Rhinolophus ferrumequinum: one gene and its partners. The protein of the gene in region 4 interacts with the protein of the main gene of each other region in a pairwise test. Links are inferred from orthologs where the notes say so. Each region holds a gene or a part of one and is shown on either strand. Other genes may lie near its edges. The genes, in order: BAG4, RBPMS, PSMA3 and SNRPB.

Evidence for each region.
Region 1: the proteins of SNRPB (region 4) and BAG4 interact in binary tests that used the Homo sapiens proteins (3 or more experiments, as listed by UniProt). The link is inferred for Rhinolophus ferrumequinum from reciprocal best matches to the Homo sapiens genes SNRPB and BAG4.
Region 2: the proteins of SNRPB (region 4) and RBPMS interact in binary tests that used the Homo sapiens proteins (3 or more experiments, as listed by UniProt). The link is inferred for Rhinolophus ferrumequinum from reciprocal best matches to the Homo sapiens genes SNRPB and RBPMS.
Region 3: the proteins of SNRPB (region 4) and PSMA3 interact in binary tests that used the Homo sapiens proteins (3 or more experiments, as listed by UniProt). The link is inferred for Rhinolophus ferrumequinum from reciprocal best matches to the Homo sapiens genes SNRPB and PSMA3.

The regions. Positions count from the first base shown.
Region 1 is NC_046287.1:61,425,362-61,433,526, forward strand, and holds the start of BAG4 (BAG family molecular chaperone regulator 4), read right to left. Parts: upstream 3,158-8,165; 5' UTR 3,104-3,157; coding exon 2,834-3,103; intron 1-2,833. Other genes in the region: U6 snRNA-associated Sm-like protein LSm1, read left to right, coding at 3,647-3,692, 7,062-7,130. UniProt on the Homo sapiens protein: Inhibits the chaperone activity of HSP70/HSC70 by promoting substrate release. Prevents constitutive TNFRSF1A signaling. Negative regulator of PRKN translocation to damaged mitochondria.
Region 2 is NC_046287.1:67,296,091-67,303,290, forward strand, and holds the start of RBPMS (RNA-binding protein with multiple splicing), read right to left. Parts: upstream 3,074-7,200; 5' UTR 2,571-3,073; coding exon 2,505-2,570; intron 1-2,504.
Region 3 is NC_046289.1:35,995,773-36,003,133, forward strand, and holds the start of PSMA3 (proteasome subunit alpha type-3), read right to left. Parts: upstream 3,021-7,361; 5' UTR 2,887-3,020; coding exon 2,866-2,886; intron 34-2,865; coding exon 1-33. UniProt on the Homo sapiens protein: Component of the 20S core proteasome complex involved in the proteolytic degradation of most intracellular proteins. This complex plays numerous essential roles within the cell by associating with different regulatory particles.
Region 4 is NC_046306.1:24,784,017-24,791,131, forward strand, and holds the start of SNRPB (small nuclear ribonucleoprotein-associated proteins B and B'), read right to left. Parts: upstream 3,051-7,115; 5' UTR 2,915-3,050; coding exon 2,912-2,914; intron 617-2,911; coding exon 465-616; intron 1-464. UniProt on the Homo sapiens protein: Plays a role in pre-mRNA splicing as a core component of the spliceosomal U1, U2, U4 and U5 small nuclear ribonucleoproteins (snRNPs), the building blocks of the spliceosome.

The DNA of each region.
Region 1 (8,165 bases), on a different chromosome or scaffold from region 4:
CTTCCGAGATTAGGTTATAATCCAATCAGCGCCTCTGCTTCCATGTCAGATCTCTCTCTCGCTCTCTCTCTCTCCTCTCTCATTCTGGGAGAACATGAAAATCATCTACAGATCTTGGTGAAATGCACATTCTGATTCGGTAAGTCTGGGGCAGGGCCTGAGATACAGCATTTCCAACAAGCTCCTAAGTAATGCAGATGCTGCTAGTTCAGGGATCAAACTACAATGCTGCCAAGTACAGCTAACCAAGTAAGAAAAGAAAGAAAACAGGGAAAGGTAGATTTCTGGGTTTTTTCTCCTGCCATATTTAAATGTAGAGAGTCAAGTTTTTGTAGTGGTTCACTGCAACATTATCTCAATATATCCAATTCTATAGAGCTGTGCTTCTCAAATGTGAACATGCATACAAATCACCTGGGGCTTTTATTAAAATGCAGCAGCAAGTCTGGAGCAGGAAAGTCTGCATTTCTAACAACCTCCAAGCAACACTGAAGCTTCTGGTCAAAGGACCACACTTTTTGAGTAGTACGGTTTTAAAAGGCTCCTATACCTTTTGTTTGTTTGACATATTTGATTATGTAAAAAATGTAAAACTTATATATCACAACCACAATAAAGTTAAAAAACAAACAAATTTGGAAAAAAAAACATTTGCAACATGCAAATCTTTTGTATTAATTTTCTATTGCTGCATAGATTATAATCCTATACTTTTCAAGTTTCAGAAACATCAATCTGAAGATAAACTCTTGAAATGGTTTATGAACGTCCAGTACACATCCCAGCTTTATCTCCAACTACTGCAGCACCATCACCCAGCCTATGTACACGCTATGCTCCATCCATACCTTACATCTACACAATACTAACATCTTAACTTCTCTAACCTCACCCCTAAAACACACTTTTGTTTTGATAATACTGCAAGCCCAAGTAGAAGTCATCAGTGGTCCTCTCCTCTCCCTTGGTCTTTGGTCTAATTTGCCTACTTATAGACCAAACAGTTCATCACTCTACTCTACCAAGGGATTCAAGTCCCACAGGCTAATTATTCTAGATTTAGACAGAAAATATGGAACTCTCTTCATAATTAACCTCTCACTACTACATGCTTTTTTCTCATACAACTTTTTAAAGATGCAACTAACATACCATAAAACCTACCCTTTTAAGTGTACAAGTCAATGGTTTTTAGCATCTTCAAAGTTGTATAATCATCGTCACTATCTAATTTCAGAATATTTTCATCATCCCAAAAAGAAACCCCTTACTTTTTATCTATCACTCCCAATGTCCCCAGTCCCCAAAACCCTGGCAAGCACTAATGTTTGACTCTACAGATTTGCTTATTCTGGACATTTTATATAAATGAAATCATACAATATGTGGTCTATCTGACTGGCTTTGTTCACGTAGTATGATGTTTTCTAGGTTCGTCCATGTTGTAGAATGTATGTACAGTACTTCACTCCTTTCTATGGCTACATAATTTCATTGTACGAACATTCCATATTTTACCTATTCATCAGTTGATGGACATTTGGGTTATTTCCACTTTTTGGCCATTATGAATAACATTGCTGTGAAAATGCATATACAAGTTTTTAATACACATATGTTTCCAATTCTCTTGCATATACAGAGCGTGCCAAAAAAATGTATACACATTTTAAAAGGGAAAAACTGTATTAATTGTAATACTCAACATATACGGATAACAAAAGATGAAACAAGTCACGTTTGACTTCTGCAATTACAAGAGGTGTTCAAAATGGTTACCATCAGCGTCCAGACACTTCTGATTACCACGAACTACTGCTTGAGCACAGATAACATATCCTAAAATGTGTATAAATCTTTTTTGGGCACCCCCCCCCAGGTATATCCATGAGCAGACTTGCTGAGTAATATGCTAACTCTGTGCTTAATATTTTGAGGAACTGCCAAACTACTTTACAAAGCACTGAACCATGTTACATTCCCACCAGCAATGTATGGGAATTTCACTACTACATTTTCAAACAATGAGGGTGTTATAATTTCTGAAAGAGAGATGTGACCCCCCCACACACATTGTGTAATAATTCTCTACGAAAAATACTGCATTAACAAAACAGAAGTACTGTACGTTTCTGGCAAGAATATAAGAAATGTTATAGGTCCGACTATATTGAGCAGGTTGAGTTAACCTCTCAGAGCCAACAGTTCTTTAATAGGGTCACTATTAGGATCAACATAAATGACATTTATGTTGCAGTCGCCGTGAAGATTAAATAAAACAATCCACGTAAAAATACTTCCCAACGCTGATTATTCGTTGAGTCAATCCCAGGCAAAGCATTAGGGACAAAGGGCTAAATAAATGCCCACATTCCCCCCACCTCCTTCCTAAATTCCTTCCCCGCGGAAGAGGTTGCTGAATGACGGCGGGGGCTGCAGCCACCTCCCTTCTCGGGGGGAGAGCAGGCCTGACGAGCCACGCAGGATAAATTGCTAGAGCTCAAAAAGCAGAGCCGGGTCACTTCAGCCCAACATCGTTCCCAGGCGACATTCCGCATCCTCTACCTAGCTTAGCAAGTCAGCGCAGGATCTTTTTTCCTTTTTTAATGGTAATAGACATTTATTATGGTCGAAGCAGAAAAGGAGGGGCAAACAGAACACAAGCATATCTCCCCACCCACGAGCCCAGTCTTATTTCTACAAACCCCCCAATAAGGAAAACAAATATGAAACCCGATCCGATACGAACTCAGGGGGTATACTAATCCCAATGGACCTCACTCCCAAAGAACCCCCTCCCAGAACCTCCTAGGACAGATGGCGCAAAGCTTACCTGGTGGTTTCCTCCAGCTCGACCCGGCTCCGTCCAGGGACCTCCAGAGGGATAGTAGCCATCGCCTCCTCCGCCTTCTCCTGGCCAAGAGGTCTCAGCAGGGCCGCCCCCGCGCACCCGCCAGGAAATGGGAGGCTGAGGAGGTTCAGAGCGAGGAGGATATAAGGGTGGAGGTGGATGCACCGGCATATCTCCACCCCCAGGCCCATAGTAGCGGCCATAAGACGGACCGTCACTGGGGCCGTAGCCCGAGCGCCTTAAGGCCGACATGGGCACCGCTGCCCCGAAGCGCTTCCCGCCCCCCACGGCCGGCTCATTGCGCAGGCCCCTGCCAGCGACAGGGAATGGACAACAATGAAGGGGGTCGGCCGACAACAGCCAATCCCAGGCCTGGTACCGCCCCTTCAGCGGCGGACGCCTGGGAGTTGATGGACGAAGGTCCGTGACTCTGGGGGTCTGGGAAGCAGGAAAACGAGGGGCTGCACCGTGTTCCTTGAAAGGGAGACTACGTTTTCCCATCACCTATGCCATGTAGATTCCTCTTTCCCTCTCCTCAGATGGGGAAAGTGTGTCCCCGGACCGCACGACGGTCCCGCCTCTTCCAGACGATGGGCACGTGGTACCGGAAGTAGGTAGGGATATTATGGAGGAGTTTCCGGCAGGCCCCTGCGGCTGAAAGCCGGGGCGGACGCGCTGGTCCCGGTCCGGGTTACTGTCCCGGTTCCGACGAGGCGGCGACTCCGGTAGGAGGAGGGAGGTGTTGCACACGCTGGCCCACCGCAGCTATACACTGCAGTCTTATCTCAGTTCAAAATGAACTATATGCCAGGCACCGCCAGCCTCATCGAGGACATCGACAGTGAGTTAAATCAGTTTGGGGTGAGACCCTTCCTCCCCGAAGGGTGCCTCTTTCGAGGAAGCTCGTAGAACGAGTCTGGGGCGGGGGGCGGTGTGATTTGAGCACAGTTCTGGGTGTTTGGTGTTGACATGCTCCACGGGATGGAGGAGCCACGGGACACACCCTTTGCCTACCTCCTAGCCTACGACCTCTATTACCTCCGTCCTGCCCCACGCAGCCTGCACCGGCTGGTCAACCACAAGCTGTACCATTCAGTCCTGCTTCCCAGGGACGCTGCTGAAGTACCAGGTTGTTACTGGTGGATGAATGAGAATGCTTAAAGCATTCATCAAGAAATGAGAATATTAATAGCATTTGGACTTATTGGCAGTAAACATAGGCTTTATGCTGTGTAGTCATTTGCAATATTCTTTTACCGTAAGGGTCTTTAGTACTTTCAAATTATGGTAGCAGAGACCACTGCCAGACAAGGTATTGACTTTTCTGGAAAGGCAGAGTTGATTCACTTCTTTTTTTTCTGTTCAACAATTTTCTTTTGCTTTTACTTAAGAAGACCTCCCTTATTCTTAATCATTATCCTGAAGAGGAATTCAGTCCTGTATGAAAGAGGATATATATATATATATATATACATATACATATATATATAGTCTGTCCTTTTGCTAAACTGTCATCTGTGAATTATTCCTCAAGCAACATTTTTGTAAATGTTTTGTGTGATCCTGTCTCATTAACTTGTAATTGCTGCAAAATGGTTTACACACAGTTCCAAACAAGTTACAACAATCTCTACAGTTACTATATATACAGATTAGAGTGAGTGTGTAATTAAACTTTTTATTGTCTGAGATCATTTTTTAAATCCAAATTAGTGATTTTGCTATTGAAGGGAAATACAGTGTAAATTGGACCAAATTCGTACATGTAACTAACCACTGTACAAGCCTATCTCTAATGTGTGATGAAATCTTAAGTTGTCTGAGGATGCCATTTTGCCCTCACCTCTCTTTTTATGTATCTGAATTATTTGAGGCCCTAACACATCCTGTCGTTCTATTAAAAATAAGTTTTGTTCTTAAGCCTTCTAACCTCTTGTTTGTAGATTCCAGGCCCCCTCCTTTACTGAAATGTTCGAAACCATTTCATATGTACTCTTCACTGCACCTCCCACACACTTGCCTCCTCTCTCCTTAGTCTTTCTGTATTTTCACCCGTCCTCTCATTGAGTAGGAAGTATTCCTTCCTTTCAGTTTGTCTTTTATTACTCTTTCCTCTCACTGTTTCTGGAACCTTCTGCCATTAATATCCTTTTTCTCTCACACCTTGTATCTTTCTCTCTCCTCCTGGATCCTTCCTTTCACATGTTTTTGTCCATCTCAATTTTTTTTTTCAGTTGTGTCTCCTCAAACTCCCATCCCTTTTTTCATATCTTTACCCCCAAACCTTTTGAGTCATCTCCATTTTGACTCGTCCTGACCACCTGCAATTTGATTTTTGTTGTCCACACACTAGTGAAGCTGCATTCTTAAAAGGCATCAGTCTAGGGCACTTTTCTGAGTCTTCCCCTCCCCTCTGCAGCACTGCAACTATTACCACTGGATTCTTAATTCTGTACTCTGGATTTCTTCAATACTAGTAGTTGTTGATTTTCTTACCTCTCTACCTCTTACTGTTCCCTAAAATAGATGGTCTCTTAGGTTCCATGTTTGACCTGCTTCTTTCTTTAAATCTCTAGGAGATCTCCTGGACTTTAATAATTATATCACCTCTTTGTGGATTAGAGCAATCCGAAATTGCTCTAATTCAGACCTCTTTGGCAGTCTTACATTTCCAATTATCTGTTGACATTTCTACCTAAGTGTCCTGATAGCACTTCAGAATTACAAACAGCTAATAATCTTCCACCCTGAGCTTGCTTTGTTTACTCCAGACTTTTGGTAAGTGGTCCTCCCTGATGATGACGCAAAATGCCTACCGCTGCTTAACTTATTTCTTTAGCACCACACTCTCTCACACCTACCCGCATATACAAACTCAATTAGTTGACAAATCCCATTACTTTAAACTGCACAGTTTTAGTACTTCCATCCTTGCCCTTCTCATCCCTACCTTGGTTCAGGTCTCTTCATGTTCCAGACACTGGAAATAGCCTCAGCTGCTCTCCCTTTTCTGCCAGTTCAGTCTTCAATGTGTTTTCTTGTTCCCTATAAAATCAAACCCAGACTCAACCTGCTCCCAGTTCTTTTTTCTGACTTCGTTCCTGTTATTTCTCTCCATGCCGTCAACTCTTCTCCAAACATATGGATACATAGCCCTTTTTTTCCTCCTATCTAAATTACAGATTTCCCAAACCATCCCCTTCGCTGTCACTCTTCCCATGAACAAAAATTATCTAACTTTCAAGAACCAACTCAGATACAGCCTCCAGCTCGAATTTCTCTCAGTCTCATATAATTAAGATGTGCTCTCTTATGGTACTTAATTATAGCCCAAGGAAAATTATAAATTCCTTCCGGGAAGAAGCACCCTGTTCCTCTGTTCTACATCTATGAAGTACTTTATGTGTGGTCTTAAAGAAACAAATGAATGATCTTTGCTAGTTATTCTAGTGACTGGCTTATTGTCATTTTTCAGAGTCAGCTCCAAGTCACCTCTTCAGAGAGGTTTTCCCTAGCCACCCTCTCTTCTGTAGCTACTTTCTTTTCATCCTACTATCCTGCTATCTTACTTATTATTCCATAGTAGTGATCACCATAGGTCATTTTTTTATTTGTTTGCCTTCCTCCACCAGGAATATAAGTTCATAAGGTTGGTGAATCTCTGAGTTTTATTCAGTACTGTATATAGAGGCTCCAGAACAGCACGTAGCTTTCAATAAATATTATTGAATTTTTGCTCTAGCTTATTATCAGCATCCTCATTTTACATGTCTGAGGTATTGTTTTTAATTTAAAATCTTCCCTGACTCCAAAGTGTGAAATAGAAGCTCTTCTAAGTTGAAGGGAAACAATTCTAGAATTAAGATCATAAAGATCATCCAGACTAAATTTCTCAATTTGCAGATACAGAAACTTGACATGACACTGAGGAGGTGTAACTGTCAAACATCAACGTCTAGAGCCAGTCAGGCTTCCTGACTACTCAGCCAGTCCTTTTTCTACTTTGCCACACTATGATTTTTTTCACCACTAATCTTGTAACCTAGGCTGCCTTGGTCCTCCCTCTAATTTCCCAATAAACTCCACCTTAAATACATGGGAAGAGGAAGTGGTAGAAGTAAACTGCTGTTAACTTTATTTTTGTTGTTACCCTGTAAACTCACTGATGCTAACAGTTTTCATTTTTAAAGATCTTTTTTCCTTTTCCCAGAAAAGCACTTGGTCCTTCTTCGAGATGGAAGGACGCTTATAGGCTTTTTGAGAAGCATTGATCAGTTTGGTATGTATTAGTTGTGGACTTCTCCTATACTCTAGATAATACGAGTTGCCCATTGTATTTTTTGTGTTATTTCATATTGAAATTTATTTATCGCCAACTTTTTCACGTGTCTGGCATAATGGAATACTGTTTTGAGTCATTACATCATTGTTTCCTAAATTATGATTAGATTGTTTAAAAGCTTGCACTTACAAGTTTGTAATTCTAAAACTGGTTCTCATGAAAACATACAATGTTTTGGACTATTTTTTTAATTTCCCAATGAGAGGGACCAAATGATAGAAATAAACTCAGTCCAATGAAAAAGCTGCTCATTTGTACGTTGGCTCAGGTGCAACTACTCTGCAGAGCAGTTCCTGCACTGAATGTAACCCCACCCCGTCCAAAGAAAATTGGATAGAAGGCATTTCCCGAAGCTTTTTAGGGACTCCAACATTAAGCTCAAGATTTTACACTTAGGAATACGTCAGACTCAAGAGTCTTGGTCTTTTGTTTTGCTCCTGCATTTTTCTGAAGACATCTATAGTTGCTTCTGTTTCAAGAAACTTCTAGTTCATCTCACCATGTGGTAAACATCTGTTAGGTCAGTGGATTTAGGCAGGAGGAAAAACAACAATTGAAACACCTGTAAGAGTTATAGAAGATAAGCGCATAGATAATCTGCTTTTTTTCAAGTAAGACAAATGGTACCAATTGAAAGAAGAAAAATAATTATTCTTAACAGATTGGATTTGTAAATCTTAACAAATTCATCAAACTACTTTGAGGTAAAAGTAAATACTGGCTTTACTCTCATTAGCAGGTATGCTTATCTGACAAAGTGAAAAAATAGGTTTTTGCAGCAGCATAATTTGTGGACATCTGTATGATATTAAATGAATCCTAAGTACTGAAACAAAGTTAAATCTTCAGTCAATAATCAGATATACATACCCACACAGCATAGAAAAACTGTTTCCGTCTTTTAAAAAAAAACCCAAAAAAAAAACAGTTTTAATCTCTGCAGTTGTTTGGTCTTCCAAGTACCCTACTCAT
Region 2 (7,200 bases), on a different chromosome or scaffold from region 4:
GTCAGTGCAATCACCACCAGAAACTACAACAAAACACATTTTTCCTCTCTTGTCATTATGTGTGTATATATTTTATATGTCTGTGTGCTGTTTACTGGAGTCCTCAGCCAAGACTTTTAGATGTGTTTGAGGACAAATTGCCGATCGTTGGGTGGGCAGGAAAAGGGTCCAGTGTGGTGGTTTTGTATAATGCTGAGCACATTAATGAGACTCACTAAAAACCATATTTATTTTACCTGTGGCTTCCAGAGTTAGACAAAAGAGGTTCGGAGTTTTCCAAAACCAAAACATAAATCCAAAACAGGGAACTTGTGCAAAATTACCTGGATTATTCAGGCCAACTGACTTTCTTTTCCTGAATTTTTAACATTACAAACCCTCTGTCTTTATAGTGTATCTGTTTTACGCACTCCACCTTTTGTACAACTTAGGTTCTGAAATCTTCCTAACCTGTTTTTAAAATAGCAAGTGTCTTGCTAAAGCTACTGACACTTCCTAGAGCCACAAGCCGTTCCCACCTAAAAAGGAACACTGTAATGACAACAGGACAGGTAAGAGGGAGTGACTATACTGAGGTCACCTGTGATTCTACTTGGACACAACCTCACACATTAAGATGACCAGAAACAGGGCAAACAACACCTCAGTACTGGCAGTAGTTAGGCTGAGAAAGGTTAAGCAGAAAAATGTGACTTTATTTAATTTTATCAAGTTAAGTAGGTTATGGTTTGGGGACACTCAAACCTCTTTTGCTACCTACCAAAAGAAAAAAAAAAGAAAGAAACCTTTACTTTGCCTGATTAATGTTTTACATTTACAAGTTTTCTTAATTGGGTGAAGAGAAAAAGCTGATTTCATACAATATGTTCTTACCCTTTGAAGTACACAGATTGCCAACCTACCTTAAATAGAAAAGCTTCTGAAGCAATTATTACCTTGGTGTGTTCTGTGAATTTGTTAAATATAGCGATTCACAAAAAAAGGCAAACTTGTCATCATTTTTTAAATTTTATTTTAGTGGCAGGAAAAATAAATAGCAAAGAAGCCAGCGAGGTTCAAGAAAAAAGTAGAACTTGCAATTCAAGTCCCCTCTTTGAAAAAGAAGGAAATGTCAACAGTATTCCTTCACTTGTAGTTCAACACAACAAGCATGTAAGCAACGCTTTTCAAAATAATAGTTTATAATAAAATAGGCAGTTTCCTCATGTGAGAAGGCAATTTTTGGCTTACTGCAATTCACCTAGGTTGCACTACCCTACATCCATGTTAAGAGTAAAATTTTGTGTTAATTTTGCGTGGTTTTAGTTCTCTCCTTTACTTCCCCAGTTACAAGTGGACAATGGGCTAAGGGCTTATATGTACTAATCAAATCCTCCACAAAATTTGGTTTCACTATCAGAATTTCAGTTTGCACATAACATTATCTCAATAATAATCTCAATATCCTAACCACTTTAGAATCCGTTTACCATTCTGTTAGCCTTATATATAGGATGATATACCTGTAAGAATGCTTTATAGGTCATACCTAGATGCATACTTTCTGCATTTACACACATTCTAAAGTTCTTTTTAGCATGTTTAAGAACTCCACTAGGTCGGATCTAAAAAAAGTAGGCGAAAAACATTGTTTCTTGGACTCCAGATCATGTACCTGTAGGAAAAGAGCCCTTTTATAGGATACGATAAATATCCTAACTACAGATTCTGAAACATGTGTTCAGGACTTCCCTCCTACACTGACTGAATTCTGTTTACACCAAAGGAAAGCTCGGCAGCCCCAACATTTTTATCGTTATTAGGGACCCACCACATAAAATTTACGCTCGGAAGTCAAAGTCCTATTAAAATTGCCTCGAGGATAATTTGGTTAATTGTAAAGTTTTAAACTCTGCTCCCCACAACCGCATCGCCCCCACATTTACAAAACCTAATCACCCAGGTTCGGGGTCTTTGACTCATCAGAGAAGAATGCGGCTGAGCAGTTATCTATTAATCCAAAATGCCTCAGCTGGAAAGATATTTCACCAAGAACTTTCAACGCTGAAAGGGAGGGGGCAGGGAATAGAAGGTATCTTTTAAGACGAACTTTCCCCGACTTCTTCCTTAAACCACACACACAAACACACCCCACAACTTCCAGGGCCGGACGCAGAACTAAGTCCTGATACTCCGGGTCCCAATAATCTGAGGTCACCCAGGAGTCAGTCTCGATTCCGCTTTTAAAATCTCGGGCAAACAAAGCTGAGCATTATACTTACAAAAGTTTCCGAAAAGTCCTCAAAGTTACGCAATGTTAGGCACGCACCCACAAAAACACACTCTTCGAAGATACACTCTCCCGGGACCACAGTCTGCGGCAATTCCCACCCCCTGGACTGTGGTGCCCCGGGACCAGTGCCCGCATCCCGCCAGCCTCTCCCCGCCCGCCGCCCGCACTTCGGAGAAAGCCGGCGCGGTTAGCGTCCCAGGTCGTACCCGCCACCGCACCGAGCCATCAGTACCTCTTCCTCCTGAAGGTTGGCCTCGTTCGGGGTGTTCTCCTTCTCGGCTTTGACGCCGTTGTTCATCTTCCCGGTCCTCCCTCGCCGGGCAGGGCTGGGGCGCGGGGCTGGGCGAGGGCGCGCTCGCCCACTTTTCCCTTCCCCGGGCGCGGCGGGTTGGAGCCTGGGCAGCGGCGTCTCGAGTTCGGGCTCCCGGGCGCGGCGCGACTGCGGCGGCGGGCGACTCAGGAAGTGCAAGAAAGAGACCCGGCAGGGCGAGGCGCGGGCTGAGTAGGGGCCGGAGACAATCGGGACCCGGGCCGGAGACCTGGAGAGCGAGGGCGGGCGCAAGGGGAAGGAAGGAAGGAAGAAAGGATGGGGCGAGGACGCGCGTCCCAGGAGTGACCCCAGAGAGTTGGGGATGTGGCCGACTAGGGGTTGGGGGCGACCGCAGCCCAAGCCTAGCCGCTGCTGAAGGGAGGGGGCGAGAGGCGCCCAGAAAGGCGGCGGCGGCGGAGGAGGAGGAGGAGTGGGACAGAGGGGCGCGGGCCGCGGCTGGGACGCTGGGACGCGGAGAGCGGCTGAGTGCGCGCTCCTGGTTCACTCTGGGAAGTCCAGCAACCAAGCTGCGCCCTTTCTTTCGCCTTCCTCCCTCCCCTCTTCCCTCCCCCTCCTCCCTCCGCCCTCCCTGGACGTGGGCTGCAGGCTGTCGCCGAGAGGGACAAGACGCGAACCGCGAAGCCCCCGCGGGAGGAGGGGCTGTGCCGGGGGCAGCTGCCCCGCGGCCCAAAGGCGTGCGCCCCGGGGCGGGGGGGGGGGGAGCACGGGCGGAAGCGGCAGACCCCAGCCTCCGGCTCCGCTGTAGGTCCGAGGGAGAGGGCCGCGCGGAAGGAGGGAAGGTCAGGTCTTCCGAGTTACCCTGGTGGCAGTGTGGGGACGGAGTTGGCGAACTGGCGTGGCGGTGCTCGCGAACTTGGAGCGGGGCTTCGAGGAGACAGGCCCTCTGCCAGTGTGACCACCGCTAGGTGTGATGTGCTACTTTTGTTTGTGGGATTCTCACGAGGGATTTGCACCCCTACACCGGTTTACACCTATTTCTTCCCTTCCTAGTCCGCAGCTGGAAATGACAGGATGCGAGAACTGGAGTGACATCCGGGGGCAGCCTGAGCCGGGCCGCCGTTTTCAGGGCACAACTTCAAGCCCACTTCACACGCGGGGTCCTCCAAAACCTTTCCCACCGCGATCCCCACCCCCGATCCCCCGAACCGGCCGCCGCCGTTACTCTCCGCGAGGCTCCCCCGGGCCCCTGTTCAGTTCAGACTCTTGTCACAGCCCTTATCAGACTGTTCTGGAATTAATGTTTACCTGGCTGCCTTTCTGACTCTTTTGAGAGCTCCTCCCTGGAAGACAAGACCGTGCCCTGTTTATCTTTTTAATCCCACAGCTTTATAAATACGCCACCTGGTATATAGTAGACACTCGATAAATATTTGTTGGCTAAGGGAATGTTCCCCCTCACTGCAAGCCGAACCGGGGGCCAACAGAGCTGATCTGTAGAGTGTCAAAGCTGCTGCTTAAAAGAGACTCAGCATTCCGGGAGGTCAGCGCACGAAGCTTGTTCAGGCACCAACCTCGGACGGACCATGTGGCATCCTTTCCTCGAACCTGTGAAAAGGGAGTAGTTATATTTATCTCCCAGGAGTTTGCCATTAGAGCAGATTATAGTTTGATAGAGCGATAGCACCTAGCACCCATTCTTACCCACTTTAAGTGTGTGACACATGGAAGCTAACATTCTTATTAAGGACATTTCCATTTTTCTTGCGCCATAGAGAGCTTTTCCAATACTGTATCATTTAAGCTTTCAAACTTGACTACTACAAACACCTACGTTTAAAACTCCATACATCAGTAGATTCTCCCTCACTTCCTACCTCCAGGAATTTTCTTTCCCAGCATGCTGTTCCTTTCCAGCACAGCACCAAACACAATTTCTAATTATTTGCTTGCTCCACTGGTCATCTCTCCCCCCTCCCCACCCCTACTAGACATTCTTTACCCTTATACCGTTTTAAGTGCTGCTGGCTATGGGGTGAGGGTGGTGGTGGGAATTGAAGATAAGGCTCCCGCTGTCAGGGAGTGTAAAGTGGTGTTGTGGCGACAGGATATCCAAAACAACTCCACTGGCAACATAATCACAGATCCCGGTTCAAATTGCGGAAAGCAAAGCAAATACCGCTTTAAGAGCATTCGGAAGAGAAAAACAGCAGTGATACTTGGATTTACATAGCGGATTTTTCCTGGTGATGAGGGGAGTCTGAAGATTTTGATAAAGAGATTTAATTGCTGTCGTGATGTCATTTCCTTCTATAGGGGAGACAGTGTGTATCCTGGGTGAAAATGAACCCAGAGTCTATTGAAATTGAAATTGAAGTTACCTGGACAACTGTTTCCACCTCCAGTTCCTCACTGGGTTGTGTGAGGAACCACGAGGGGGCAATGTCTTCCCGAGCATTGGCGAGGGGTGGTCTTGGGCCCCTGTGCTGACCTCTAATGCTAGCTCTACTCTCCTTGGCCTTTCTTGCCTGTTAACTGAATACACTGCACAAAAAGGTATTGTCTTGCTGGAGCCTGGCAAGGGCCCAAGAAAAAGGACAGTTGATCTAGTCCTTGATGATTCCAGTCCGACTTCTCTTATAAGTCAGTGGAAGAAGTATGATTCCAGGATGCTGGGCGAACCTTCCCTACCCCCACCCAGGGAAATGTGGCTTAATTCCAAATGTAGAACCTGTTTCCTTTGTCTTTAAGCCAAGCTGGCATTTTGTCCATTGTTAAAAGTCAAACACCTCTGAGATTAAAAAAAAAAAAAACAAAAAAAAAAAAACAAGAATAAGTTCCATGAGAGGATCCTTGTCTAACTTGTTCATTGTTGTGATCCCAACATCTAGATACTGCCTAATGCATAGTAGGCACTCAACAATGATTTGTGAATGAATGAAGACATTGTTTTATCAGTTTTGATTCTGAGGCTTAAATGACATTATCAGATCCTTCCAAGACCTGGCAGGAGGGACTGAATTAGTGGAGGCATGGAGAGCCATCACATGGGGCATGAGGCAGATTCATGGAGTGGTCATTAGTCATTATTTTGCAGAGAGGAGACCCTAGATAGACGACAGCCTGTGCAGAAAAGGACAATCGATGAGATTTCAAGAAATAAAAAATAAAATCACACGACTCAGCACGAGGGCCCCAAACCACAACTGAGCCAGTCAACTGACACATGCAGTTGACAACAAAGCAGGGAGACCTAAACTATATAGTCAATGGTGAATGAAATTCAAGGTGTCTTCAGAAAAGTGTGTAGGGATGGGGTAACATGCCAGTAAAAGGGGTACTCCTATTTTGCCCTTTTCTTTAGAAATGGTTTAGACTTATATGGAAGAACAATAGAGTCATGTTGCCAACAAAACTCAATGAAAATCTGTGTATTTGGCTATTTATAAAATCTTGTGAGTATGGGGAAAGTTTGAGTGTGGGGGGGGAGAGGGCCATGTACATTCATTTCGGATATAAATGATCTTTATGACCTGTTTACTACTTCAAAGAAAGAAAGTTTCAAAAGTGAGATCTCAGTAGCAATAGTTTCCAGACGCACTAAGACTTGTAAGACAACAAAGGGATTTTATATCCTAGAAAAATAGGGCTAATGACCAAGAAACATCTGCTTTCTTTCCTGCCCACCACCCTACAACGCTGCTTCTGGCCTACCAGGTTACATGCTATATTGCTAGGGAAATATTGTATGCACCTATAGTTTTTATTACTCATCTCTATTTCTCTGGCTATGTTCATTTTGAGGTGTGCTTTAAGAAATTCGAACCTAGAATTATGTCTTAAATGACAGGTCATTACAGATATTAAAGGCCTATTTTGGGCATGGTCTTTGTACCTATGTTAGCACTGCAGCAGAAAGCTGCAGTGTCTACCACATGTGTTGTGACTGTTATCTGTTCTGCATCCTCTGCTGGACCAAACAAGTTTTTCAGGCCAGAGACTGTGTTTTATTGGTTTTTGTCATCCATAACATTTCTTTCTCTTTCACCCACCCCCACCCACCTCCAGGCCATCACCATCATCCCCTGAGTTTATTTATTATTTTTCAATTGTGGCTAAAAACACACACAACATAGTATTGACCACCTGAACCATTTTTGAGTATACAGTCAGTAGCTTACAGTATATTCACATTGTTGTACATTTAAGACATAATTTAAGACCAGTCATTTAAGACATAATTTAAGACAGTCTTCTGATCTTTACCTCCTAAATAGTTCTGAGATTCAATCACTTCCCTCCAAGTACTCATGGAAGCCTACGCAGCCACATGGACAGGCTCACAGGGAAGAGGATTATAGCCCCAGCTGAGCTCTTAGTGGACAGCCGGTACCAATTGCCAGCCTTGTGAGTGAGTTATCTTGGAAGTGGATAATCGCTTAGCCCCAGCTGACGCCACATGAAAGCAAGATGAGCTGTCTTCACTGACTCCTGCCCAAATTGCAAAATTGTTAGCAAAAAAAGTGAATGCTGTTGTTTTGAAACACTAAGTTCTAGGTTGGTTTGTTATACAGCAATAGATAACTGAAACATAATTATGTACCTAGAGGTAAGGTCCTGCTGTCACAGTGTGGGGACAGAGTCCCAGAGAGCAGTTTCC
Region 3 (7,361 bases), on a different chromosome or scaffold from region 4:
ATCAGGAGAGAATGTAGAGGCTGACAGGTCATACTAAGAGGAAAAAAGCAACAGTAAGCCTATAATGATGTAGCTCTGGCAATAGTAACCTTATATATTTTTTTCCTAAATGGCTTACACATCAGAAATTTGTGTTAAATCTCAACAGAGATTTTGCTTTACCATGTCAGAGCAGCAACATCAGCCAAGGGAAAAGTTAGACATTTTAGATTTCTGCTACTGAAAAGCAATAGATACATGTCCTAGATAAAATCAGAACTTTTTCACACAAAACACAAAGCTCAGTTTTGAAAAAAATTACTGTGGGATAGCAGAAATAGCACTGGAGTCAGAACATTTTAATTCCCGTGTTCCCCCGAAAATAAGACTTAGCCGAACAATCAGCTCTAATGTGTCTTTTGGAGCAAAAATTAATATACGACCCGGTCTTATAAGACCGGGTATAACATAAAATACAACATAGTACAGTATAATATAATATAATACCAGGTCTTTTATTAATTTTTGCTCCAAAAGACGCATTAGAGCTGATTGTGTGGCTAGGTCTTATTTTCGGGGAAACACGGTCATAGCTGTGGCACTAAGAAACTGAAGGGCCTTACTTAGACAAATCAGTTAGCATTCAAACATGTAATAAGCATATATTAGTCACTATTAGGGAATACAAAGAACACTCATTTTTGAAGTCCTTCATTTTCAAATCAGACCAGGCACAAATCTAGGTGCTGGAGATAATAGCAATAAACCAGAATATGGACTATCAAGAAAATAAAACAGGTTGAAGTGATAATGTGAGGGACTACTACAGACTACCTGATCAGGAAAGGCCTTGCTGGGTTAATTATATTTAGTTATTTAGATTGAGTCAGATCTAAATAAGGAGTAACTAGCCATTGAGGATATGAAGGAGCCATCCTCCATATTTGGCATAAAGACCTTAGGTAGAAATAAACCGAGCACAATCGAGGAAAAGAAATAAGGTCACTGTGTCTTGAGCACTGTAGGTGGTAGAGAGAAAACTGTATCAGACACAATGGAAGGGCCAAAGTATGTTGAGTCTTCTAGGCTGGAGTAGGAAGTTTATAATGTATTCTAAATGCAGTAGGAAGTCACTGAAATTTAAACGGGGGTGATATGATCTATTTTTTAAAAACATCATTACTCTGGGAAATGAACTGCAGAAGGAACAAGAGTGGAAGCAGAAATCGGGTATTCCAAAAGTGGTGGCTTAGAGAAAAAGAGACTGAAGGCAGTAACTTTTGAGGCTAGAGGGGGGAAAAAAAACTGCTAATGAATTTGCTGTAGGAGTAAAGTAACAAAGAAATTAAAGGTGAAGGATAGATTTTTTTTTCATTTAACCAACTAGAACTGGACCATTCACTGAGCTGAGGATTGTTAAGAGATACAAGGAGCAAAGTAAAAAAGAAATTAAGGTGAAATCATAGATTTTGTTTTTTTTTTCACTTGAGCAACTAGAGCTGAACCACTGAAGATTGTAGGAGACACAAAATGACAACTGGGAGGAGAAAACCCAGAGCTACTTAGGACATGTAGTTTGAAATCCTATTAAACAACCTGTAGAGAGAAATGTCAAGTAGACAGATCTCCTTATCTGAAGTTCTTGGAAGAAGTGAAGACAGGATAAGCCTTCAACAGTCGTGCTTCCTGCTGAGTCTGTTTCATGATCTGCTAAACCGTGATCCTTAATTCTACCATTGTTATACCAAAATATCTCACATGGTTGTATTATCAAGTATTTTTAAAGGGTTTGTCGAAGGAAACACTATCAATCGAAAGTAATATTAACGAAGGTGCAAAGCCAATTTACTACAACATGCATTATTGAGCAACTACTCCTAAAAAAAGTATAACATAACCTTAGCATCTCATAACTGAATGGATTAAACCATTCCAAACTTAAGATATAATACGCATTATCAAACTCGGAAAACCAATGTATGGGCTTAATGCTGAGGTGAGGATCAAAATCTTGTGAAGTGTAGATAAAGATGAGCTAAGAAACCCATTACTCGATGCCTCTAGTACAAACAACCAATATTTCTAAACGAAACTGTGTTTTCTATATGGAGAAATACATAAAAGGAGTAAACAAGATTGTATATATGCACTACGTTTAACAAAATAAAGTAGTAAGCCGAACAAGTTAACAAGACCAAGTTCAAAATCCTTAAGTCTTGTCTATTAAAAGTCAGAAGCGGTTAGGTCCCTAGCTAATCATTTCAATGTTTATGGTACTGTGCTGTTAAGTAATTGTACAGGAAACGCTGGGACAAAGGAAAAACGTAAAGGATTCTTGAGATTTCGCTTTTCAGACCGTTTTTCTTTTTGAGTTCTGTCCCGATAGGTTTCCAGGGAGTCACACTGAGCAATCACTACACTCGAAGGGAAGATGGAGAAGGTCTCATGAGTCAGCAGCCCCCTAGGAACTGCAAAGGCCCACGGAAAGCTGCGTCTCGGAAGTTGGAATCTCAAGCCGCCTCGCCTCAGTGGTTCTCAAGAAGGGCTAACTGTAGCACAAACCCTTCCCACACTATTTCAGGCCCCACGAGATTCCACTTTCGGTTTCCCGAAGAGGCTAAAGAAAGTGACTCAGCAACTCAAAAGTGGCTCCAGATCTTATTGCTGCGCCGCCAAGCCCGTTACACCTGAGCTTAAAAATTTCAGGACACCGTCACCGCAGGCTGCGGCCTAGAAATTAGCGCAGGAAAGACAGCAGTTCACCAGACAACCGGAAGCGGCCCACCTGGCCGGTGGCAGTCCCAGCGCACCCCAAGTGGTCTGTCCGAGTTCCCTTCAACGCTAATCCTTAGATTAGACTATCATATGCAGAGACAACCAACTCACCCCGGTGCCGATTGAACTCATCCTGCTAAATCCAGGGGAACGCGTAGGGCTTCAAGGCCTAATGCGCCCCTCTATCCTGCAGCACGCAGACGAGTAACAGGCTCTCTCATTGGCTGCTCTTTCGACCAATAGTCTTCTCTTTGGCTCATTCCTCAGTCTTTAGCCCTGGACACAGAGGATTGTGGGAAAAGGAGGGGACGAACATGGCGGGCGACGCGCATATGCAGATTCAAATGAGGTGGGGTTAGGGGAGTATACAGTGTTCTTCCTCTGCATTTCCTTCGAGTGCTGTTGAGCCGTTTTAAGTCTTCAAATTGTTTGAGAAGCTCCTCCATTCCATTTTCTAGGAATTATTTATCATTTATATTATCACTCTGTTTTGCTACCTCATACTTTCTTACAGCAAAGCGGAGAGATGTTCTTACCAAGACTAGAAAAAGCAGTAGGGCATTCTGGTTCTGACCCAGTATTTTGAGGGCATCCCCTTCACCCACCTATCCTCACAAAGAAGAAACTTGCATTCTAAGGGCATCGCCTTTGACCTCAGAAATTTTACAAAAGCATTAGTACCCTTTTTGTGAATATAACTAGTAGAATTAAGGATAAGACTGATTAAATATATTTATTGAGCTCTAATATGTCCCAAGTACTCTGCAAAACACTGGTGATAAAACGATGAAGTAGACTTAACTACATCCCTCATGGAGTTTACATTCAATGAGAGGAAACAGGCAACAAAGAGTGAATAGGCAAAATACTTGGACCTTGTGATAAGAAGATGAAAGAGACGAGAGATTTGAACTTTAGGCCTAGTACTTAGGGAATGAATTTCTGAATGGGTGATATTTAAACTGAAATTTAGGATTATTCTTATAAGAATATAAACTTGGCATGTTATAGGAACTGTCAGGTCCGTGTGGCCCATCATAGTGATTGAGTGCGGAAGAGTGACAGGTGAAATCAGAGAGGTGGATATAGGACCAGATCCAGTAGTAGCTGGGATTTTAATCTGATAAAAAATGGAAGGTCATTAGCATCATTTTTAACTACTAAATACTTAAGTGTGTATTTCCCCCCAAACAACATTATTTTACATAGTCACAGTAAAATTATGAAAATCAGAAAATTAACAATACTATTTTCCATATACCGCGTTTTAGATTTTGGCAATTATCTCAACAATGCCCTTAACTGCAAAAGAAAATCCAAGATCACATATTGCATTCAGTTGTCCTTTAACCTGTCCATATTGCATTCAGCTGTCCTTTAACCTAGGCTCCTTTAACCTGGGAAATAGTTGCTTAACATAAATAGTTGCTTAATATTTCTACAGGAGATTATTCCATTGTCTCAGCTTGTCATAATTTGATCAGAATCAGTTTTTATCCTTTCCTCTTAGAATTAGCATTCTTTACCGTAAGATTCAATGACTATAATCCTTACCACCCAGCTTCTGTCATTTGAGCTGGATAGTAATAACAATCTCTCAAATGTCAAGCAGTTACTGGAAAGTAGCCTTATTTTAATTGAACTAGAATCCCCTTCCTCAGTTTAACTTTCCTTGACTAGATCATATTAAACGAAAATATCTAACCTCCGCTGTTCTTCAGTGCAACACTAACCTCTTAGATGTGGAAATTTGTTTTTTAATGCTCCCGCACAAATTGTAGGAATCCGGTGTGCCATTTGGCAGAAGATGGATGGCCTTCATACGTGTTTTTTTAAAATAACATTTTGGGCAGTGAGTATTTTAAAATACTTAAGAGAAAAAATTCAATGACTATAATGATAAAGATTTGCATAAATTTTCAATGATCGTGGGATACACACGCAATAAAAATTATTAAACTTAAGTATAATTAAATGTTTTAAAGAATTCTTGAAAATAATTCGGAAGTGCATATTTAATAGTACACAATTTACAAAGAAGAGGTAAAAGAACAAACACCTAACGTAGCTGAACAATTATCAAGACATAAAAAAAATCCAGCCAACTTCCGAGCGCCCGGCTAGCTCAGTCGGTAGAGCATGGGACTCTTAATCCCAGGGTCGTGGGTTCGAGCCCCACGTTGGGCGCAAATGACTTTTTTCTCCTACGAAGTTGTATCTTAAGGTTTTCCCAAAGCATTATTACTGAGGAGGGATATTTTAAATCGAATTAATTTGAATAATTTGAATATGAACCAAAACTCTGGGAAAAAAGACTTCATTTTGCAAACGAAACAAGTCTCGAACTACGCTTGCGCACGTGGAAGCACACATTCCTCTTCCTTTCTGCGATCCCTCCCTGACCTCCTCTGTAAAGCAGAGGAAACTGGAAGGCCACTATTTAGTTGAGACTTGTTTTCTGTGTTACTCTGCATACTTACATAGTTGCTGGTAGAAGGCAATTTTTGCTTTTATCGGAAAAAAATATATGAGCCCCGATTTTGGCAGCTTTCCCAAAACTTAAAGAGATCCTATGTAAAAAGCACCTAGGGAGGCTGGAGGACTTTGAAGAAAATGTTTTCCTTTCTTTTACTTTTTCTTACTTTCCTTTTAGGGCCTGTCCTGAAGTAGAGGGAAGATAGGGGGATATCTCCAGAATACACCTGAGAGAAATATTTCTTTCTGTTGTCAGATCTGTACAACCAGTACATACATCAACTTTTCTTCCATTATTCTTGGGACTATATTTGGGATCTATCCAATCGAATGGTGATTAGGAAGTTAATATTCTGGTAAGGGTGAGGCTCTTTGAAACAGAAGTACAAAAAAACTCGGATGTGAAAATTCCGATGGGCTATTAGGTATACCTCTGTGTGTTATCCACGAGCTTTCCTCCTACTAAACCACCAATGTTTCTTATTTGTTTCCTTCAACATACAAACATGCTGTTATTTCTCTATCTTAAAACAAAAACTTTGACCTCGTTTTCCTGCAGGCTACCATTATATTTCTCTCTTTCCCCTTTGGAGCGAGTCACCCCTTCCCAGTCATCTAACTTCACCATTCTCCTCTTCACATTTCTTAACCCTGAAAATGCCCAGACCAAAACATCACCTAAAGTTGAACGAGTTTGATGTATTACTCATTGCAGTGAGGGAGAACTTGGGGTGTTTCAGTAAAAGGGTATTAGAAAGAACCTATTATAAGATTGGACTTTAAGTGGGTAATTTTGAGGGTCCATGGAAGTGCGGATTCCTTCTGGACTGGGTGTTCTTAGAAAGTCAGGGCAATTCTATAACCGTAATAAATCTTATCTCTAGGGAGAGCAGACTAAAGGAGGGATGAAGCTGAAATTAGTAAAGTGTCACTCACTTAACAAGAGAGGATGCTTGGTGTTTTGAGTTGGAGAGTGACCGACTTGCCTAAAGTGGATGTTCTGTGAGAAGCCAATCCCAAGTCCAGGCCTCCCGCCCTTCTACTAACCAACTATAAATCGAAGTTTCCCACAACCCTCTCTTCAGGTTTGGTAATTACCTAGAACGGCTCCAGAACTTAGGAAAAGTTTACTTATTTCTAGTTTATTATAAAGGATACAGCTCAGGAATAGCCAAATGGAAGAGATGCATAAGGCAAGGTTTGGGGAAGCTTCATGGAGCTTCCATGCCCTCCTGGAACGCAACCCTCCTAGCACCTGGATGTGTTCACCATCCTGAAAGCTTTCTGAACCCTGTAGTTCAGGGATTTTTGTGGAGGTTTAATAACTCAATCTCCAGCCTCTCTCCTCTCCCTGGAGGATGTGGGTTGGGGCAGAAAGTTCCAAGCTTGTAATCAGGGCTTGGTCTTTCTGGTGACCAGCCCTTATCCTGAAGCTACCCAAGAGCCCACCAAAAGTTGCCTCATTAGAACAAAACACACTCCAGAAAATTCCAAGGGATTTAGGAACTCTGGGTAAGATGCTCCTAACACCCCCATCCCTCAGGAAATTGTAAGGGTTTTAGGAGCTATGTCAGGAACGGGTTACAGAGACCAAGTATTATTTTTTATTACCCACACTTGCGCAATATGTCTTGTTTCAAATCACTAAGAAGTGTACCCAACCCTAATTATCCTATTCTAATTGGCAATTACCCACTACCCACTTCATCCTATTTTTCCCATAGAAGGTATCATATTCATAGGTTTTTATCTGTCTCTTCACTCTCTCCTACCCTGTTGCAATGTAGTGTAGGTCCAAAGGGCAGAATTTTTGTCGTTGCTCACTTATGATCTTAAGCACCTAATAAGTTAATATCTGATAGATATTCAATAAATGTGTTGAATTAAGGGTCTGTTAGTTTCCTAGGGCTGTCATAACAAAGCACCACAAACTGGGTGGCTTAAAACTGAAATTTGTCTCAGTTCTGGATGCTAGAAGCTTGAAAGCAAGGTGTAGGCAGAGTCACATGCTCAAAGGCTCTCTGGAAGCTGTTCTACAGTTCTCTTAGATTTTTGGTGTCACCAGCAATCCTTAGTGTTTCTTGGCTTGCAGCTCCGTAACTCCAATCTCTCCCTCAGTTGTTATATGCTTT
Region 4 (7,115 bases):
ACAAAAATCACTGGCCCCAAACCCACACAGGGAGCTGAGCACTTACCCTGAAGAGGGTCAGAGGCTTCTTAAAGCAGTTTCAGACCAGGCTGCATTGGGAAAGCCCTTTAGGCTACAGCTTTACAAATAGGCACTGAGGCCAGAAAATCAAGCTCTCCCCCCTCACACACCTGTGGGGAGAACATGAGAGCCCTTTACCCCAGTACCCAGGGGCACAAGAAAGTCAGAGAAACAAAAAGCCTAGCAGCTCTCCTTACAACTTGTACTCTGCTACAACTACAGAACAGGCTTGCTGGGCTAAGGAAGGCGATTTCTTAGTGACCAATGTCCCCATTTAAATCTGCCCTCTCAACCAGGAGAGCAAACAAACTGACAGAAACCAGCTAACTACATGACCTGTCACTTGGCCCACCCACCCAATCTACCCCCCTCCCCCAAATCCCTCCCCACAGCCCACTCCTCACTTGATCTTCCTGAATTCATCGCAGTCACATAGGATCAAATTCATGTGCTTGTCAAAAGCCTTGAAGGTGCCAATGAAGATACGACCGTCTTGCAGGATGCACCTCATCCTGTAGTCGATGTGCTGCAGCATCTTGCTGCTCTTGCCCACGGTCTGCAAGGAGAGATCAGTGGGGATGACACTCGGCTCCTTGGGACCCACATATCCCTAGCCCTTCCTCAAAAGTCTGCTGTGGCCTTCTTTGCCATGTGTCTGTCTTTCTCAGTAGATTCTCAGTTCTGTCTTCCAGCCACAGCCCTTTGCCAGGAATCCTCCCGTGTCACCCCGTGTTCAGCCCTGACCTCTACCCACTACTATTATTCTCCTCCCCTTCAAATCATTTCGTATTACAACTGCCTTTGTTTAGGCTGTGTTTCAGGGGTGAGTGCAGGATGTCTCCAAACTAATCCAATCCACCCATACGAGATTAGTCATCTGCCACTGTGGATTCTAGGTGTGTGACTCCAGTGCTGTCACCCACATCCCATTAAAAAGACTGAGGAAAGAGCTGGAATGGGACTGGCACTAAAAATCCAATCAACCAGAAGCTTATCAGAAAGGAGCTGGTCAGCGTGGAGGTGAGAATGCAATCCCCAAATAAGTGTGCCTCCAAGACTACCTTTGGGAGGAAAGCTTTCTGGTGACCAGTGTGCTAATCAGTTTGAACACACATGGTCTTTAAGAATATGTAACTCGCTACACGTCTTAATTAACCCAATAATCTATTCTGCTTTATTACTTGGATTCCAGTATAGCTTTGTTAAAATAGACTATATACACATCACAATGCAAATTGTCAGGTGCCCCTGGCAGTTATAGTTCTCTCTAGAAATAAATGCCCTGGCATTTGATCCGGGTATCATCAGCCTCCCATCAGTGAATGGTGTGGGCCAGTCCTAACTCATCCAAGTGCCTTCAAATGCCAGGCCTGGGTATGCTGTTCACTTCTGTGAGCTTGGACAAGAACGGGTTTCTGAACCCACAAATGTGTGGATCAGAATCTTGACATTCACCCTGGAGACCCAGGTTATATGGTTCAGTCTCTCTTAGATGACTCTTATTTTTAACTGGCAGGTAATCACACAGCTTCTGGCCACAAAGATCTGAACCTTTATGGCAACATTTTTTGGTCCACCCAGCAACAACCAACTCTTACTGGGTGCTCACTGTATACCAAGAACTGTGATAAGCACTATGTATCTCATTTAAATCTCAAAATCAGTCCCATTGTTCCTAGTTTACAGATGAAGCCACTGAAGCTGGGAGACAAAATTCCCCCAAACAGTATCCTGCCAGGTTTCCCTGCTTTCACTTCACCCTACACAGAACAGCTACAGAACAAAGTAATCTTTCTAAACACAACTTAAATTCATGTCATTTTGCTCCTTACAAGCCTTCAACGACACGCCTCATCACCAGCAGGATTAAGCAGAATGTAAGCCTTTTAGTAACCATCCTCCTGCCAATTCCTCCCAGCCCCACTTCCAGCTCTTCCTTTCCCCCTCCAGCAACTTTCAATAGTGCTACCTTTCATGCTTTGCTCTCGCATCCTTTCTTATCTATAATGTCCCCTCTCATTTTCGCTGGGAAAACACCTAACAACCTTGTACAATTCTGCTCAGGAATCCTCTACTCCCTACAGCATTCTTACCCTGCTCGCCTCCCGCCATTACTTTCACTCAATGCTTTATTACCACTCTGAATTCTATTAGGTTGGTGCAAAAGTAATTGCGGTTTAAAAGGTTAAGTTGCAGAAACCGCAATTACTTTTGCACCAACCTAATATTACCGGTGTCTCCAACTACAAAGTCAACTCGGTGTAGGAAACATTTCATTGTGTAGCCCCAGCGCCTGAAAAGTCCGACGTACTCATACATACATGCTGAAAAAATGAGTTCAACTCTTCCTCCAAACATTCTCAGTCACCCTACCGTTCCCGCCACCGACTAGATCCAAGAACACTCCAGTTTCGGCCGCAAGCCCTTGCACTTTTTCCGTAACTGCTCAGACCCTCACTCCCTTCACAAGTCTGAGCCTCTTAGTAGGTCTTCCTTAGTCCTCCTGCGGCTCTAGTGCCTGCTCCGAAAACCCCGGAACACATTTCTTCTACAAAAGTTTACTTAGTTCCTACAGGATCCCAAGTACTGTGGCTACAGCGGCGTGGAGAGCCGCAGTTCCATCCTCGCCCCCACCGAGCGACCCCGGCCTTCCCCCTCAGTGCCAGCCTTCCCCTCCCCCAACCCGCCGAACGACCAAGGTCTCGGGTCTTTAGTGCCCTGACCGAGCGGCCGCGGCCCGGGCCTTCATCGCCATGAGCGGCCAAGCACGGCCTTCCCCGCCAATCAGTCCCGGTCCCCGCCTGAACAACAGACTCGGAAGCTCCCGCGCCTCCAGCCTGCGCCTCCTCACCATGGTGGCGGTTCTGATGGCTTGGATTCCCGCCGGATTCGCCTGTGGGGAGGCCTAGAGGGCCTCCAGTCGCCAGCTTCCCGCCGCCGCTACCGGAAATACGTCCGGGAGCAAAATGGGTTCGGGTAGAAAACTACTTCCGGTCCCAGAGCCCTGCCCTCGCGTTCCGCCCACCGTGCGGAAAAGGAATCTTAGAGCGGGGCGGGAGGTTGGGCTGGGCTTGGGCAGCGCTAACCAAACTGAACTCGGTTAGTTTAGGATTCTCCTTGGACCCCTTCGTGCAGGAGCTGCTCCTGCACACTGTCATCCCCCGGCCCGGTCCGTTAACTCTCGGTCCTCATCTCCCACTACTCTACCCCTGCTCTCTGCTCTATAGCCACTGTCCCGACTTTTCCGTGAACTTGCTGGACGTGCTCCTGCCTCAGCACCTTTGCATTTGCTGTTGCCTGTCTGGAATGCTAGTGGTCCAGGTACATTCATAGCTCATGCCCTCAACTTCAAGACTTAAGTTCAAATAACATTTTCCCACTGAGGACTTCCCTGGCCATTCTGTTTAAAATTGCAACCTTCCCACCCATCCCAGTTTTATTTTTCTCTTTAACACTGATCGCTAACATACTATTTTTTTTTGTTAGTTATTTTGCTGTCCCTCCCTATTAGAATGTAAGTTCCAACGTATGATTTTTTGTGTGTATTGTTCATTGCTGCAGTGCCTAGAACACTGCTTGGCACAAAATAAAGGCTTAATAATTATTTGACTCAATCAATCAATCCCATCCAGTCCCATGTCTTTTGAATGCTACCTATAGGTTCAGGCTTTTTTCAAATCTATTCTTCTAACCCTGGTTTCTTCATTTAACGCCTGGTCTTTTATATCCAGCCACCTGCTTCACATGGATGTCTAATAGCCATACTAAATTTAACGTTGAAAACTGAATTCTTGATTCTATTTTCTTCCCAATACCACTTTCTACCAGTGTTTCCCATCTCAGAAGTTTCTTGGGTTAGAAAACAAAATGACAAATTTGGTAGCATCCTTGATTCCTATTTCTCTCCCTTCTCATAAACAGCAAATCCTATGTGCCTCACCTTCAAAATGTCTTGAATCTGACTGTTGAAACGAGTTCCACTGCTACCACGCCAGTCCTAGCCACCATTATCTCTGACTTGGATCACTGAATGAGCCCCTAACTGTTCTTTGCTTCCTCTCTTGCTCTCACAGCAGCCAGAGGGATTCTTCTCTAATGTACTGGGATTTTATCAAATGATGTCATTGCCCTGCTCTCCACCTCCCAATAACTTCCCAGCACACGTGGAATAAAATCAGCCCTGCATCCCTCTCCAACCTCATCTCCTTCAACGTTCCCCTCATTCATCACAGCCACACCAGTCTCTTTGCTGTTCCTCAAAGCCAGCAAGGAAAGCCTCCACCTCAGGACCTTGTCATCCTCACACCATCCTAAGATGTATATTCTGTTGTCCTGTTTCTGTCAACCTGTAGAGGAAGAGAATGGAGGCTCAGAGAGATGAATTATCTTGCCCAAGGTGGCAGCATCAGAACAGACATATGGTACCGTCTGGCTCCTCAGCTGCTCCCAAATTACCCTGCCTCTTAACATATCACTGATGCATGCATTTTAAAAAATATTTATTTAGCACCTACTAAGGCCACGCACTATTACTGAGATACAATGTCCCTTCCCTGAAGGAGTTCATGTTTTAGTGAGAAAGGCAGACAATAAACCAAATGAATACATTCTAGAAAGTAACATTAGAGTGATATGAGAAAAATAAAGTGGGGAAGGGGGACTGAGAGTGATGAGTTGTAATGTTGGCTACATGGTCAGAGGAAGCTTCTCTGAGGATTGGCACAGGAGCAGAGACCTGAATAAAGTGAAGGACATTCCAGACATTTTTTATCAAGGGGATCATATAATATCTGCGGTCTTTGGTAACTGCTTTTTTTCACTTAGCATATTTTTAAGGTTCATCCATGTTGTGCCACATATCAGTACTTCATTTCTTTTATGGCTGAATAGTATTTCTTTGTAGGGATATGCCACTTTTGTTTATTCTGTCATCAGTTGATGGACATTTGAGTTGTTTACACCTTTTAGCGATTATGAATAATGCTGTTTTAAACACGTGTGCAAGTTTTCATGTAGACATATGCTTTCATTTCCCTTTCATGTATACTTAGGAGTGGAATTACTGGTAACTCTGTTTAACTGAGGAACTGCCAGACTGCTTTCCAAAGTGGCTGCATTATTTTACATTCCCACAAGCAGTGTATGAGGGTTCTGATTTCTCCACATCTTCACCAACGCTTATTATTGACTTTTGGATTCAACCATCCTAGGCGTGTGAAGTGGTATCTATCCAACTGTGGTTTTGATTTCATGTCCCTGGTGACTAATGATGTTGAGCATCTTTTCATGTACTTATTGGCCTTTTGTATATCATTCTTGGGTTATGTATCTTTTCTGATTGAGTTTTATGAGTTCTTTATGTATTCTAGATACAAGTCCCATATCTCATATCAGATATGATTAATAAACATTTTCTCTCATTCTGTGGGTTGTCTTTTCACTTTCTCAATAGTGTCCTGCACAAGTTTTTAATTCCGTGGAGTCTAATTTACCTTTTCTCCTTTTGTTGCTCATGCTTTTGGTAGTATTATCTAAGAATCCTTTGCCAAATCCAAGATCATGAAGATTTAGCCATGTTTCCTTCTCATAGTTTTAGTTTTTGTTCTTACATTTAGATCTTTGATACATTTTTAGTAATATTTATATACAGTATAAGGTAAGGTTCAAACTTTACTCTTTTGCAGGGAGCTATCCAGTGTCACAGCACCACTTATTGAAAAGACTATTTCTTCCCCCATTGAATAGTCTGGGCACCTTGTGGAAAATCAGTTAACTGTAGACACGTGGATTTATTTCTGACTTTTCGATTCTATTCCATTGATCTATATGTCTATTCTTATGTTAGTATCATTGCTTTGTAGTAAGTTTTGAAATCAGAAAATGTGAGTCCTCCTAATTTTTCTTTTGCCAAATTATTTTGGCATTCTGGATCCCTTGAAATTCCATGCAAACTTTAGAATCAGCTTGTCAGTTTCTACATATAAGAAAAAAGGAGTCATGGATTCGAGAGCATGAAGTTAAATAGATTATTCATTTGGCTTTTGGTAAAGTGCTCCCAAGGTTCAGTCTAGATCAGGGATCAGCAAACTTTTTCTGTTAAGGATCAGATAGTATTTTAGGATTTGTGGGCCATATGGTCTCTGATGCAATTACTCAACTCAACCATTGTAGCATGAAAGCAGCTATAGATAATACATGAATGTGTGCCTGTGTTACAATAAAACATTATTTATGGACACAAACATGTGTCACAAAATATTATTATTATTTTGATTATTTTCAACCCTTTAAAATGTAAAAGCCATTCTTAGTTCACAGGCTTTACAAAAATAGGTGGCAGTCCAGATTCAGCCTTCAGGCTGTAGTTTGCCATTCCCTGGCCTAGCGCATTAGATTTCTGTGTCTGGATTCAGGGCCGTAGCCTCACTTTCTATTAATAATAACTTTGACTTGAGTCATTTCTTTGGCTTATGGGTTCATTGAATAAATGCCATCAAAAGTTCATGTCTTTGCCCTCATATAAAAACTACACACACACATTCACATCTGTATCAATCTAGGTCCAATAAGGAGACAAAAACCACACAGTAAAAATTTAAATGGGAAATTTAACATAAAGAATTATTATGCAATGATAGGAGAGGAACTGTACCTATTGAAAGAAAACCTTTAGCTGAGGGAAAGTACTAAGGAAGGATAAACCTGAAAGGAAGTTTCCCTCCCCAAGGCTGGGGTTCAGCCCTCTTGGAGGTGTAGTCACAACCCACTGGGTGATGGAAAAGTTGGGTTAGTGGGTGCTTTGCACAGGCCAGAGCTGGTCTACAGTCAACCGACAAGCAGGAATAACCTTCTGGAATACAGGCAAGCCAAAGCTGGTAGGCAGAAGGACAAATCGAGTTGAGTATGCAGAGAGTAGGGAGTTAATGTTGACACAAAGCCTGGATCACACAGTGTCTGTGTCTGAAGGGCCTCGGGCTGATGGGCACTGCTGGAAATGGAGGCTGAAAAGCTGTAAGAACCTAATGTACTTCTGTGCACGGCTTAGGCTGGGGCAG